Linked DNA regions of Saccharomyces cerevisiae S288C. Changing the gene in region 4 together with the main gene of any one other region gives a genetic interaction. Each region holds a gene or a part of one and is shown on either strand. Other genes may lie near its edges.

Region 1 (4,076 bases), on a different chromosome or scaffold from region 4:
TTGCGTTTCTTGGGTGGGAGAAGTCCGAAAAATGCGTATCCGAGTGTACAACGGTTTTTTTTCAGGGACAATATGCCAAGGAATACCGTAAGCAACGGCTGCGCTAATACATCCATTAAAAATATCTCTCCTTGCTTAAGGTCTCACACCCAAAATGACAATGAGAGTGCTATTTTAGTTGTTCATCAATTTAGTATATACCAGCTCCCACAGGACGACGATTCTGACCCTTTCTATTTAAATAGCTCCTTACATCGAGAAGATCTCTGCAGCTAATCAAATCAATTAATATTTCAGATTTGTCGCGATTTTGAAATATATACTATAGGTTGTTATCTATCATATGCAATGTTCTGCACGTTATTTACTTCGATCTGATCTTAAATCAACTCTAAAAAAAGAAACCGATAAGTCCCTTTAACCAACCAAAGCCGAGGGAGTGACAACATGAAAGTGGGTTATTTACACGACATAATCATATTGTCGAATAATATCAGTCAAGCATCATGTGAGATCTAAGGGCCTAAAAGGAGAGCTTTGTAAATGGAGCAAAGCTCTTCGAGAGATTCTTGACTACCAACAACATTCTTTGTTGAAGCAACAACAATATTCATCCCCTTTACATTAGTCGAACAAACACCCAAGGAAAATGCTTGGTGCCAGGATCCTTGAAATTGGCCAAATGCCAAATCGCATATAGAATATTTGGCATCGGGCTCCTCTAACTGATTAAACAGACCTACATTGCTTAACAATGTACCTCCGCGTCTTTTCCCGATGGCACGATCGCACATTACCTTGTCAATGTTCACATATTTTTGAACGAAGCCTTGTATATTGAACCCTAAGCCATGGAGATGCTTTTTATTTCTTAAAGCTTCCGAAATTACTTCATGGTAGTGCTCAATAAGTGGCCAAAAATTTTCTTTGTTATCATTCATGTCAAATTCGCTTATCCAGGGGGTGAAGTCAATAAATCCAACGTTAGCGCCATATCTGTACATCTGTCTCATTTCATCATCATCTGGTAGTTGTGAGCGGCAATCTGCGGGGATAAAAATATCCGTAAGCCATTCGAAGTTCAATGGTTTGAAAAATTTACCCCATTTATGAAGAGATACAAACCAACAAACATGTAAAAACGGAGTGATAGTACACTTACCTTGGATATTTGATTTAATATTTGCTTTAATCGCTTGAAATTCTGTTGGTGAAATATTGATGATCTCGGTGACAACATCATCGGTTTTTTCCACATCATCCATTCTCATACAGACACCTTTTGAAGAAAATCTCAAATGATTGTAGATGAAACCCGAAAGAAGTGACTTCGGAATAAACAAGTACGGTGGTCTAAAGTCTATCACCTTTTCGATCGGTTCTGGAAGTTTCCTCAATAATTGGTAATCCTCCTCGTACTTGAAAATGTAATCTAATTTTTTTGGTGGAGTTTTAATATTATTTAATTCGTCTCTTAAATCATGAAAAAAGTGGATCGAAGACCGACCATCAGACATGCAATGATTAGATACAAAGATAAATTTTTTCCACTTTTCTGTGTGCTCTTCTGGAAGACAAATTAGCCGCCAACTCGGTCCTGTTGGTCCAAAGTAAGGAATAGTCAAAGTGGTAGTAAGTTTAAAAATTTTTGCAGTATAGGAACCCTTACTATTTTTGAATTCTTCTAATATTTGCTTCATTACTGCACTGTACTCAGGTTGTTCATTGAGAACCACACCACTCAGTTTCAATTCTTGTAATACTGAAATATAATCATGCACTGGATGTGGCCGTGAATAGTATTCGGAACTGCGATAATAATTTTCATGATTTGGCCATCTTGTTGGTAGAACAATATGTAAAAGAGTTGGATTTTTCAGGCAGATTTCCCTCAAAGCTAATGTGAGCTGATCCCTAGTACAGTAATCACTCAATTCTCCATATGTGCAGAAGTTTCGATATAAGTTTTGTCTGTTGAGAGCAACATACAGATCTTCAACAGATCCCATACGCCGAGCATGCCCATTCTGAATCATCTCTTTCAGGCATTCTTGTTGCACGGGGGCCTGATTTTTCTCATCGATTTCATTCATGAGAGCTGATAAATTGATGGTATTTGTGATACTGATGAAGTGCCGTTTTTTATTTTCTTGTCTCGAATTTTTGTTGGGTTGGCTTCAAAAAGACGCTTCCAGAGATCCATAAAAAACAATAGGATTATATTCAGAGTCCGCTCAACGCGATGACAATACCAGGCCAAAAAATGATGTGCGGCAAAAAATATAAAAACCGTAAATCGCAAGCCAATGAGTAGTCCTCACACGCTAGATCTATATATTCGGAAGTGAGAAGACCATCGAGTGCATTGAACCTTAGCTCAATGTCCAAAAAGTCAATTCTAAGGGTGGAATAGTCCTGTGCCAACAAATGAAGCTACAATTTTCTGCTGCCTGGGTCCATAAACCCTAACCTTACTTCTTTGCATTTCTTCGGTTTGCACGTGATCTCAATTGATAATTCCCAATTCTGATTTTACTTGTCAAGTACAAGTACTCTAACATAAGCTTACCACTTCTTAATTATCCGGGTGTCAGTTTATTTTATAAACACGGTAATATTTTGATAATCTTTGGCAACTTTTAGGAAATACTCCTTTACCTATATACATCGCGACCAAAATTAGCAATCTTTTACGATGAGTACCTCAGAAAATACTGTTGAATTCTTTCAAGGGGTAGCAAAACTGTCCAGAGCTTATATCTACCTGTGCTCAAAATACAGTTGAAACCACCTCTTCCTACAGTGGTATAACATATGAGAGAATAAGCTATTAACGGTTGGTCGTTAACACCTCAAAATTGTATATTCCTGTAGTTCACTGTCAGTAAACTGAGATTGTTTATTTGTGCCATTATACCAAATTTAGCACCCTATGTGGCAATTTTTCAGATTTGCCACGCTTTTGCTCTACTTAAATGGAATGCAACAACAAAACTTTGTTTTAGCATCGCGGGATTGAGGATGAAGAGAATACTTATGCATCTCGTCTTGAAATACTGTCGCCCAAACTTCTAAATACGCTTGATTATACCATAAAATTGTCCACCCAAGATGGAATGTCATTACAGGAATATTTATGGCTGTCCTCCTTATCTTCACATTTGAAGGGAGAAATAGAGGGGCGAAAAGAGAAACTATTCGCCGGAAACTTAACGGTAATATTATAGATGTGGGGCTTGCAGTTACCTTTTAGCACCCAACTATAAGTGTATCACACCATTATTAATGAGAAAGTCTTAACATTCCAGGAGGTACAAAATATGACAATCCTAGAAACTCTGTTTGCAGTGCAATGAGTCCAAATTTTTTTTTAACTAAGAGGATGCCTCCTTCGCAAACTGTATAGTTTTCCATTTTCTTCTGCCATTTCATCTTTGGAGTAACTATTATTTCGCCCCTTTTGTTTGCTGCATATCGCCCCGCTCTCTGCATACACGATTGGATAATGACCAAAGCAAGGTTTAATACGCCCACAGTTAGATATCTATAATTTTAGAGTACGATATTCATCATCATAGGCTGAACCTTGCCTTTCCTTGCATTCTTTATTCCCATTGAGGTATATTTTAAAATTTGTTCGGAGGTAAAGAAGGATAAGCTTTTCTAGTAATTTCCCTCCTCGATCGGCCTCAGATTTCCCGTCATAAAATATACGCGCCATGGAGAGATTTAATGACATAGATGTGCCGCAAAAGCATACACAGCGTATTTTCTTTGAGTATTTAATAGGTAAGCTAAGTTTCGTAGCTCGTTAGTAATATTACTCTATGGATTCTGTGCCACTTCTTCAAACAGGGCGCGAAAACCTTGAAGAAGCAGCGCACTTGATGCCCCTAGTGAGAGTCACGTGACGGTTATCCCATTTAAGGTATTCCTGTTGCGACCCCTCTCACACAGATATATCTTGCGGCTAGAGATAGGTTGTGATTAGGAATAGATCTGTAGATGTCTAGAGGAACGGCTAATGATTGGAAACGTCCGAGGAACATGAAGAAAGACGTAAAGTGGTAGCAATT
Region 2 (4,450 bases), on a different chromosome or scaffold from region 4:
CAATAACGGAACAAAAGGTAAAAAAGTAAACAGGACGGTATACTCTTAGCAGTAAACATACATCAAAAACACCGCTTGTAACCACACTATCCTTCCAATTTTGAAATAGCGCAAGTTAACCATTAACGAATAATAATATGATTTAACATAAAATATTGATTAATATAAAAGATTAAAACATATAGAAGATATTTATGTTCTGACAACACGAAAGCTTCTGAGGGCTCCTGTCTTGGTGTTTCTCTGGTAAATAGTGTAACATAACTGTTACAAAAAAAAACTTCAAAAACTCTCCACCTTGTCGACAAATTGCTATCAGATACCAACAGAAATTTTTCGCTAACTTGAATCCGTACTCTAATTTAAAAACTCCAGTGATGATATTATTACAAAGGAAGACCATTTACATGGCTGCTTCCGTACCCAAATCTAGAACTTTCAACGACTGTGACCGCAGACTATTTTGCCTCCTTAGAATTAAAGCGCACTTAGATAGTAGGTTTTAACCAGTTGAAAAAAAAAAATCAACCTCAGGATAATGAGAATTTTGAACTACTACAACCTCCTGTTAGAATATTTTTTGGGAAAGTATATCCAGCCTGTTCCCAATCAGTTAAATTGGCGTTATAATATGCATTTAGATGGCTTTGGATATAATCATATGTCGGGTAGTCCTCAGGATCACAAGTAATGGACGTAGAACCCTTCGGCTGGTATAATCGGACGTAATCTATTGACATTGTCACCGGGAAAAATATATATTGCCAGTCGATATAGGCCCAGTTGTTGGAAATACCTAAGTTTAAAATCGCTGACATTGGCTCCTTACTTATTCTCCTCCAGTCAATATTACCACTAGGATGTAAAGAAGTAGCATATAGTGTGAAAGTAGGGTTCTCTCCCACAAACCAACGAATATATCCGTTGTCGTCATCATTGAGATATTCAATGGCATACTTTTGAAAATAACCTGCTTCCTCCCCAAATTCATACCATGTTACATTTAAAGTGGATATTGCTGAGACAGCTTGTTGAAAAGGCCCACCAGCGTAAGTATTCATAGTTGTTGTGGTGAAATTATAAACTTCGATGAAGTCATAATCGGGCATGTACCATATATCAAATGGAGCAATTTGTAGAGATTGTGACGCAACACCAACACCCAAAATTGTATCAGCTTCACCTTCTAAAATATCTATTTCCGGTGCGCCTCTTCCAACTCCCTGATTTGGATGATCCTCATTATCACAAGTACAAACACTCAACTTTTGTCCCGGCAAGTAAGAAATACCATCTGGGGAACTTTGGTTTGGTGTTATACCAGCGTCACATGCTTCATATGAATAAGGCCAAACACCTTGAGTACTCGCCAAATAACCTGGTCTGCCCAAGTTCCCCATGGTCCACATACCAGGCCATAATCCTGTAACTCGACCATAATTAGGGAGGTTCGCGGAAACTTCTAACGCACCTTCTGTAAAGCAGAGTTTGTTCCAGCTCTGTACCATACCAGATCTGTAATAAAGGTCATGGTTTCTGAATGCATCCATTCTCAACGTCAAGGTACCATTTGTAGTTGTAACGGCATCTGGTGAGTACCATTCAAGATCTTTCGTAGCGTCGTAGTGGATGTCAGGAGCTGTCCAAAACTGGTCATCGCCATCGTAAAAGGTCCTACCTTCAGCATTAAATTCATCGGAAAACACCAGCTGCCATTTAGATCCATCTTTCGCTACTCTTGTCTTCGCACTGTCAGGTGTGTCTGGATCAACTAAAGTTGTCCTTATAGCCGCAAGTTGAGGATATTGATATTCAGTCAATGACTTGGATGTAGTATTAGAAGACGACGATCCTGCTGAATTTGCCGCATGAACATGTTCATGATGATAAACTACCCCGGAAAATGTAATTGCAGGTAATACAATGAAAATAAATATACCAGCCATAAATAAAAATAGAATACCCAGAAGCCCCAAGAAAGATCTTCTATCCATGTGTTTGAAGTCGTCAACGAACCTCCTTCTATCTAACTTTGCTTCTTCCTCGACATTTGGATTATGAATGTAGTCATCGTCTTCCTTTTCGTCCAACGTTAACGGAAAGAAGGAAGCTGGATAACCGCCAAAGGGCGAAAAATCCTGTTCGCCCATGTATAAGTTGGTGGATGATAATGAAGAGTCGTGAGCAGAAGAAGATGAGCCAGTCATATTCGCTCTTTTCTTTTCATTTATAAGGTTCTGCGACTGAGATTGAGCCGCTGAAATATGCCTCGTTCCTACTAGCGGATATCTGTCAAAAGGTGGTGGAGACTTAATTAAGCTGTTGTTAGAAAAGCTACTCATATTATTTGAAGAAGGATGAGACGGTAAGTTTCTGTCCGGCGGCTGTAAATGTGATGCAAAACTATTATCGTTACTACTGCTTATAATGTTCTTATAATTATTGTTATTATGATTGTTTAAGTTATTAGCAGAAGTTAGGTTAGTCTTAGCATAATAGCCCTTATAGTCTGACATTCTTTGACCATTTCTCTCGGGTGAGTTCTTTTCATTAGCCAGAAGAGAAGTATCGCTGTTAGGATCGTTATTATAATTTATGGATGAAGAACTGGAATATTCATTTGCCCCACGCCGCTCATCGTCTCCACTGGGTGAATTATAATCTTCGTCAAATTCTTCACTTCCAAGGAAAGGATTACCGCTCACCCTAACGTTCTGACCATCTGCAGGTTCTAATGATGAGCTTTGTCTTGATTGCTCATTCGAGGAATAAAAGGAGTTTTCGCTTCCGGAAACACTATTTTCGCTGTTGGAATGACGATTATTGGTGAGGTTTCGCACAGACATATTCTGCTATTGTTTATGTAACACTAGCTAGTAATGGTTATAATATACTGTGTGCAATAGGCTTAGATCTGCTGTGTTTTTCTTATTATTTACCGTTTCTTTATTTCCTATTCCTTGCGTAACCGCTAACGATTGTAATAATTTTATCAAACCTGTAAAAGTTTCTACCAGCTGCGTAGAATCAAATGGAATATGGGTTGTTTTTTCGAGCGACTGAAAATACGAAGAGGCACTTTGTAGTCGGAGTAAATCGATAGTTGTAGTAGAATATACTGGTTTAATATTCTTCTTCTCTTTCTCTTTTAGCTTTTTTTTAGCAATGCGAATTTTTTCTCCTTAGAAGGTAGGTCTCCCTATTTTGGTCAGTTTTAAACGGTTCGCAGAGCGATATCGTTTGAATGCAGCAATGTAGTAGGCAAAAAAAAAGGGACAAGAATATACAGTGCCGAAACGTCTATGTACAGTGATGGCAGTTGGAGGAAGGCCTATGTGAAAGAAAACTATATGCTGTTATGCTCGGGAATATATAGTAATCTGCGCAGAGATACATGTTCGGCACAGGCTCACCTGGGCCTACTAATTACGCATCGATGTTGACCAATTTTCCGCTTTGGGCACGCATTCATTTGTTTTCCTTTTTAAAACAACTCAGATCGTATTTGTCTCAGCACCCACACCTTGCACCAGGGTCCGTTTACCCATTTGAGGAATATGTTTCTAAAAAAAAAGAGCCGTAATATTCCAGTATACCTCATTAAAAGTAAAAAAATTTGGACGAGTCCGGAATCGAACCGGAGACCTCTCCCATGCTAAGGGAGCGCGCTACCGACTACGCCACACGCCCAATTAATTGATGAAAGGGGAGAATAGAGAAGAATAATGAAGTAAATCTAATGAAATATCAAAAAGCCATTCTCAACGTAACATTTACTCAATTATCTTCAGGGCAGGAAGGGGAGAAGAAAAAAAAAGCTCTTTTACTTGATTACTGTTTCCGTTAATTTGAACTTAATTTTTCTAAAGATGGAATTGAGATATTGGTGAATTTTGAGATAATTGTTGGGATTCCATTGTTAATAACAGTAGTAATATTAGGTATATAGAATATACTAGAAGTTCTCCTCGAGGGTATAGGAATCCTCAAAATAGAATCGATAAACGATAGTTGAATTCTATTCAAGCAGAAATGAATTTCAATCATTCGATAAAGTAGCTTGTATTTTGTGAATCACTTGCCATTCCACCATAAAATACTAGCATAAATGTTAACATGGAAAACCGGATTTCTAGGAAGCAAATAATTGTACTAAAATCACGGATACTAATAATTTCTACTTTACTGTTGCCCTTTTATTTTGTTATATTGTAACAAAATAAATCCGCCTTCTGCCGTGCCGATTTATATTCCTTTCATAAAGTCAGTGAATTATAGTAGTATATAAGATGCATATAATTAGTTATTTAATGCCGTAAAAATGAAAGATGGGGAGTATGTATTATCACCCATTATATCTCCTCAATAATAGAGTTTCCCTTGGGAGATCTGCTTAGGGACTCGTTGTATCTGTCAACTTCCTCATCCTCAACGTCTTCTAATAGGGGTG
Region 3 (2,725 bases), 650 kb from region 4:
TTGGATCCAGATTCCTTCACGAACGTTGATAGCATACCCGATGAATCTGACAAGCAAATGGCGGCGCTAGGTATTTTGTCGACTACGATATCTATTCTGTTGTCTTTTGAGAATTCACCTGAAATTTTAAAAAACTTGGAACAGTCATTTTATCCAGCTGCAGAGTTTATTTTGAAAAACGACATCGAAGATTTCTATCGCGAATGTTGCGAATTTGTAGAGAACTCTACATTCCTACTAAGAGATATCACACCCATCAGCTGGAAAATTTTGGAGCTGATTGGAGAATGTAATAGAAAACCAGATAGTATGGTATCTTATTATTTAAGTGATTTCATGCTAGCCTTAAATAATATCCTCATTTATGGAAGGAACGAATTAAAGAAGAACGAGTTTTACACAAAAATCATATTCGAAATATATCAAAAGGCTGTTACTGCAGAAGATAATTCGTTAGACGATCTTAGAGTGGTTTTTGATTTATCCCAAGAGTTGGTTCTTGCATTAGATGACAGTTTACCTCAACAATACAGAGAGCGCCTACTGGCGGATGTTGTCGGCTCTATTCTAACGCAAAAGAATGAATTGAAAACTAATGTTGTATTTAGTGTGACTGCTTTTAATGTCGTAATCTCAAATATGATAACAGAGCCTTTGATCACGCTTCAGTACCTGAAACAGCAAGGTTGTCTTGAAATCTTCTTTCAAACGTGGATTACAGACTATATTCCGAATTATAAAAGGTGCTATGATATCAAATTATCAGTTCTTGCGTTATTAAAAATTATACTGAAGTTAGAAAGCAACGATTATTCAGTGTTGAACTTAGAAAATTTGGTTCCGCAATTAGGGAGTATTGTTACGCAGTTAGCTTCGAGGCTACCAACGGCGTTAAGGCAATTAGCTAACCAACGCAAGGAATTCTCATCATCCGGTTTTGAAGAGGATACTAAGTGGGATGAAAATTTTCTTGACGTTGGAGACGATGATGAAAATGATGACGAGGGAGACCTTACTGAGAAATATCTGGAACTGATAAAAAATAGAGCCGATTCCTTGGACTTCGTAGATGGTTATGACGCAAAGGAAACTTTCGATGACCTAGAAGAGGACCCATTAACGGGGTCGATCCTGGACACAGTTGACGTATACAAGGTTTTCAAGGAGTCCATTGCGAACTTACAACATGTTGACAGCAATAGATATCAGGGAATCTTGAGACATCTGACCCCGGCTGATCAAGAACTATTCATGGGAATTATGAATGCCTAATTGAATTAAATGGCGATTGTATATTGAAACAAACACTGGATTACATAATTTAGATAGAAGAGAGAGGATATTATGCTCAAAGTTTGTTGCCTTTGCCTCGGCCAGTTGACTTTGATTTGATATCAAGATCTTTTTTTTTTATCTGGAGTCAATGCGATGAACCTAAAAAAATCACAAGCTTTTTTTATCTCTAAGCTGGGGAAAGAATCGTAGTTAAATCGGAAAGAAAAATATCTGAGTTTTGTCAGTCTTTCTTTTGCATAGCCCATCCTTGTACTAGATTTCATAAACATTGATCACTTCAAAATATACTTGTACCAAGATGGCCGAAAATGAGAGAATGTACATCTCCTATAATAATATTCACAAGCTTTGTCAGGGAGTGGCTAAACATATCTTAGCTAGAAACGAAAGACCTGATATTATTATCGCCATCACTGGTGGTGGTATGATCCCCGCAAGAATTATTAGGTCCTTTTTGAAAACTAAAGGACAAAAGAATATTCCGATTCAGGCCATCGGCCTATCTTTGTATGAAGATTTAGGGTTGGATAATAGCGTCGAAACTATCGGCAAAGAGGTCATCAGAACACAATGGCTGGACTTCGGTGCTTTGAACCAACATTTCGATTCCTTAATTGGTAAAAAGGTCCTAATTGTGGATGAAGTTGACGATACTAGAACTACCCTCCACTATGCTGTTTCTGAGCTGGAAAAAGAGATTGCTGAACAACAAAAGGTTTTGAATAGAATGAGTGAGGAAACCGTTATTTCTATCTTTGTTCTACATAATAAGGACAAACCAAAGAGAGCTGGACTACCTGACTCCATGATGAATTCTGGACGTTACATTGCTGCGCAAACTGTCCCTGATAAGTGGTTGTGCTATCCATGGGACGCTGAAGATATCGAAGAACATACCATGCTCGCTAAGGCTCAAGGTCATGACTGATGACAAACAGTATGTTGCGATGGGGTTGCATGTATATAGATACATATAGTTATCATTGGTAATTATTTCATATTTAACCTAAATCTAAAGATAAGAGTGTATTTCTAGTTATCTCATTTTTCCTTGCATTTCTACCATTTGTTGAACTTGTTGATGCATCATCTCTTTTAAATCGGACACATCATTTTCTAATTCCTCCACTTGTTCAGTCTTTTCACCTAATAGTTGTAAGGAGGTTTCCAATTTACTTTGCATCTGCTCAACTCTTTTTAAGAGATCATCTTTCTGTTTATTTACCTCATTGAATTTATCGTTTTCTTCCAGAAGTCTTAAAATCTCATCATTTGCTTTTGTCTTTTCTTTCAGTAAATTATCGTATAATTCCTTTGATGCTGATAATTCACCTTCCAATCTTTTTAACTCCGTACTTAACTTGTTCACCAGATGAGCGCTTATGTGGCCGTTAGAATTCGATAGCTGGACGCTAGCTCTTCTGTATGG
Region 4 (4,201 bases):
TTCCAATCCTTTAGTTCATATGGTATCAAATTTTGACGGAACTTGGGCGAAGTCCCGACATCAGTGTGGGAAAAGTTGAATAACTCACTAAGTTCGTGTCTTGACGCACTTGTATACAACCTCTTGGTCTCATCAGTAGCATGTCGCATTTCACCAACTGTCATAATTTCTCTGCCATCCTTCACTCTGTTTCTGATGAACTTGTTCATTTCTTGATGAAACTCATGGATACGTGGTCCGTTCATTGTGAAAGGATCACTGAGTTGCCACTTTGAGTTTTCGTCAATCACAGGAGCGTCTGGTAGACCAGCAACCTTGGAGTACAAGCTTCCCACATCAATTCTAAAGCCGTCTACACCATGGTCTAACCAGTATCCAACGGCACTTTCGTAGATTGCCTTTCTGCAGTCTTCGTTCTCCCAGTTTAGATCAGGTTGGGTGGAGCAAAACAAACGCAAGTAAAACTCTTGTGTCTTTTCATCGAACGTCCATGCAGAACCACCGAAGTAAGACCTCCAATTGTTTGGAGGAATTGGCTTGCCTTCGGCGTCATAACCCTTAGGAGGTCTCCAGAAGAACCAGTCACGTTTTGGATTGGTTTTTGAGGATCTGCTCTCTTTGAACCATTCATGTTCGCTGGAGCAATGGTTGATGACTAAGTCGGTGATAAATTTCATACCAAGCTTATGTGTCTTTTCGATCAAGGCAAAGCAGTCCTCGTTCGTACCGTAGGTTGGCCAGACCTTTTCGTAGTTGGCAATATCGTAACCCATATCATCTTGTGGCGAGTCGTAAAATGGCGAGATCCAAATGGCATCGGTACCAAGCTCTTTGATGTACTCCAACTTGGAGGCAATACCCTTCATATCACCCCAACCATCGTTGTTGGAGTCTTTGAAACTTGCGGGATAAATTTGATAAATTGTGGCCTCTTTCCACCACTTGGGTTCTGTTTCTGGATGTGCAGAAGAAATAGTCATTGTACGTTGCTTTCTTATCTCTATGAAAAAACTTTCACTTTTGTTTGTGTGTTTGGATTGGTGAATGGAACATATATTCTAGTACAGCTAATTCCTCGAGTGAAGAAGTCTTCCTTACTTATATATGTCTGTGGACGTCTTACGAATGATCGAAAATAAGAAAAGAACAAAGTAAATTTAGGATCTGGAAGGAGTGCTGTATGTAAACGAAGCTTTCAGTTTTAGGTAATGTTTGCACAACCTACATGATATAAGATGGTATGTTCTGCAACAGCGTGCCTGTCACTTGGCCCGTTATAGCAGATTATACCATCTGCAAGCAGACCCCATTATTGCATTGCCTCCGCAGCCTTGCGTATACATAGCCCTAAGACAAAATACGGAGCGTAAACAACCCTCGATCCCCGCAACAATTACATAACCATTTCTCCGCGGAATTACATAATCATTTCTCCGGGAAAATTACATAATCATTTCTCCGTGCGAGTTATAAGTGCTTTTCTCGTGCATTTCCCTGACACTTCACAAAACCTTCTTTTTCTTTTTTCTTTATTTCAGGGGAAATCAGTGCAAAACTAAAAAGAAAGAAATTTTGTGAAATGTAAACTCCAGGTGTCAAAAAATAAATTATATCCGTGGAAAATCAGGCGTCGGAAATTGTAGATGAATCCGCCTCCTCCACAATAAAAATGCTGACCACACGAGCAATGCATACACTCGGACACCTTCGTTCAAAGTATCAGTAGCAGTTCGACACACCCTATACTACTTAGCTCTTAAGGTCTAGGCTCATCTTTCTCAGTTCCTCTTTTTCGCTAAATAAAGGTATATAATGTCACAGCTGTGTAACTAAAGAACACTGTTGTTCCTATCTTTTTCTTCTTCTTTTTTTGGTATGAGTTGGAAAAAATAATCATTGCACAATTGAGTACTAAAAGCTTTCGTATCTTACCCAATATCATGTCCGGTGTTAATAATACATCCGCAAATGATTTATCCACTACCGAGTCTAACTCTAACTCAGTAGCAAATGCACCATCTGTAAAAACTGAGCATAATGACTCTAAAAACTCCCTCAACCTGGATGCCACTGAACCACCTATTGACTTACCTCAAAAACCCCTCTCTGCATATACCACCGTCGCAATCCTGTGTTTGATGATTGCATTTGGCGGCTTCATCTTTGGTTGGGATACCGGTACCATTTCTGGTTTTGTTAACCTTTCTGATTTCATCAGAAGGTTCGGTCAAAAAAATGACAAGGGAACCTACTACTTATCGAAAGTAAGAATGGGTTTGATCGTCTCAATATTCAACATTGGCTGCGCCATAGGCGGAATTGTCTTGTCAAAAGTCGGTGATATATATGGTCGTCGTATTGGATTGATTACAGTTACTGCCATTTACGTTGTAGGCATCCTAATCCAAATAACTTCCATAAACAAGTGGTACCAATACTTCATTGGAAGAATTATTTCTGGCCTAGGAGTGGGAGGCATTGCTGTCCTTTCCCCAATGTTGATATCTGAAGTTGCTCCCAAACAAATCAGAGGAACCCTGGTCCAATTGTACCAGCTGATGTGTACGATGGGTATTTTTCTAGGATACTGTACCAATTACGGTACCAAGAACTATCACAACGCCACTCAATGGAGAGTCGGCCTTGGTCTTTGCTTTGCCTGGACTACATTCATGGTTAGTGGAATGATGTTTGTACCAGAATCACCACGTTACCTGATTGAGGTTGGTAAAGATGAGGAAGCGAAACGTTCACTTTCGAAATCCAACAAAGTCTCAGTCGACGATCCAGCCTTGTTAGCAGAATATGACACTATAAAGGCGGGAATCGAACTTGAAAAGCTGGCAGGTAACGCATCATGGTCTGAACTACTCTCCACTAAAACAAAGGTCTTTCAGCGTGTTCTCATGGGAGTGATGATCCAATCGCTGCAGCAATTAACCGGTGATAACTACTTCTTTTACTACGGCACCACCATCTTCAAATCTGTCGGTCTAAAGGACTCCTTTCAGACTTCGATCATTATCGGTGTGGTTAATTTTTTCTCTTCATTCATAGCGGTATACACCATTGAGAGGTTTGGACGCCGTACGTGTCTATTGTGGGGTGCTGCTTCTATGCTATGCTGCTTTGCTGTGTTTGCCTCCGTCGGTGTGACAAAGTTGTGGCCTCAAGGAAGCAGTCACCAAGACATTACTTCTCAGGGCGCCGGTAACTGTATGATTGTGTTTACTATGTTCTTCATTTTTTCGTTCGCCACCACTTGGGCAGGCGGCTGTTACGTTATTGTCTCAGAGACGTTTCCTCTTAGGGTCAAATCAAGAGGAATGGCAATCGCAACAGCTGCAAACTGGATGTGGGGTTTCCTGATTAGTTTCTTTACCCCATTCATTACCGGGGCAATCAACTTTTACTACGGTTATGTATTCTTAGGCTGTCTGGTTTTTGCATACTTTTATGTCTTTTTCTTTGTCCCAGAAACAAAAGGCCTGACGCTGGAGGAGGTGAATACTATGTGGCTGGAAGGTGTGCCAGCATGGAAATCAGCCTCATGGGTGCCACCAGAAAGAAGAACCGCAGATTACGATGCTGACGCCATAGACCATGACGATAGACCAATCTACAAGAGGTTCTTTTCCAGCTAATCTTCCGGTTTTTAGTAACTGGAAAAAAATACATGAACTTAATTATTTATTATATACAATATTTACTTTTTTACGCCTTAATCCTTAACGGACTATTTGTTATGCCTTATAGAACTAGAAATTATATGATAAACATGAGCTACACGAGTTGACAGGGTGAACAGATTACTATAGCATCTTTCTCTCATGAATAATTTTTAAAATGTATAAATTTTGTAACGTTCCGAAGGGTGGAGTGAAATTCCATTCAAGAAACCAAGCATTGAGACAGAACAGTACAGAGTTCAGTTGTTGCGGACCGAGAATTGTAACAAGTAGCCCCAGAAACATTCATATGACGTCTGTTTCAAATTAAGCTTAGTAAAAGTACACATTTACCATAAAAAAATAGTACCAAGTCGGTGGCCTGATATCCTTATTTTCCTTCTGCCAATTGGGCAAGTTGGTACTAATATTTTAGGTGACACTGCCACTTTATTGTTATGGATTGAAATTTCTTAAATGTTCTCACAATCGGCCATAACGCTATTTCTCCGACGTAACCTCCTGTCATAGTG

Evidence for each region.
Region 1: mutations in HXT9 (region 4) and ATF1 together harm fitness more than expected from each alone (negative genetic interaction), as found in Saccharomyces cerevisiae (one large-scale study listed by BioGRID).
Region 2: mutations in HXT9 (region 4) and SKN1 together harm fitness more than expected from each alone (negative genetic interaction), as found in Saccharomyces cerevisiae (one large-scale study listed by BioGRID).
Region 3: mutations in HXT9 (region 4) and XPT1 together harm fitness more than expected from each alone (negative genetic interaction), as found in Saccharomyces cerevisiae (one large-scale study listed by BioGRID).

Annotation. Positions count from the first base shown.
Region 1 is NC_001147.6:1,044,243-1,048,318, reverse strand, and holds ATF1 (alcohol O-acetyltransferase), read right to left. Parts: upstream 2,094-4,076; coding exon 516-2,093; downstream 1-515. Other genes in the region: YOR376W-A (uncharacterized protein), read right to left, coding at 2,968-3,123. UniProt on the Saccharomyces cerevisiae protein: Major alcohol O-acetyltransferase that uses acetyl-CoA to synthesize acetate esters from various alcohols, producing ethyl acetate, isoamyl acetate, isobutyl acetate, butyl acetate, hexyl acetate, heptyl acetate and octyl acetate.
Region 2 is NC_001139.9:773,589-778,038, reverse strand, and holds SKN1 (beta-glucan synthesis-associated protein SKN1), read right to left. Parts: upstream 2,847-4,450; coding exon 531-2,846; downstream 1-530. Other genes in the region: BTN2 (Btn2p), read right to left, coding at 4,353-4,450. UniProt on the Saccharomyces cerevisiae protein: Required for synthesis of the major beta-glucans of the yeast cell wall.
Region 3 is NC_001142.9:671,397-674,121, forward strand, and holds XPT1 (xanthine phosphoribosyltransferase), read left to right. Parts: upstream 1-1,594; coding exon 1,595-2,224; downstream 2,225-2,725. Other genes in the region: NMD5 (Nmd5p), read left to right, coding at 1-1,272; SGM1 (Sgm1p), read right to left, coding at 2,333-2,725. UniProt on the Saccharomyces cerevisiae protein: May act as a xanthine phosphoribosyltransferase involved in the synthesis of purine nucleotides. Such activity is however unclear in vivo.
Region 4 is NC_001142.9:17,557-21,757, forward strand, and holds HXT9 (hexose transporter HXT9), read left to right. Parts: upstream 1-1,940; coding exon 1,941-3,644; downstream 3,645-4,201. Other genes in the region: oligo-1,6-glucosidase IMA4, read right to left, coding at 1-980. UniProt on the Saccharomyces cerevisiae protein: Probable glucose transporter.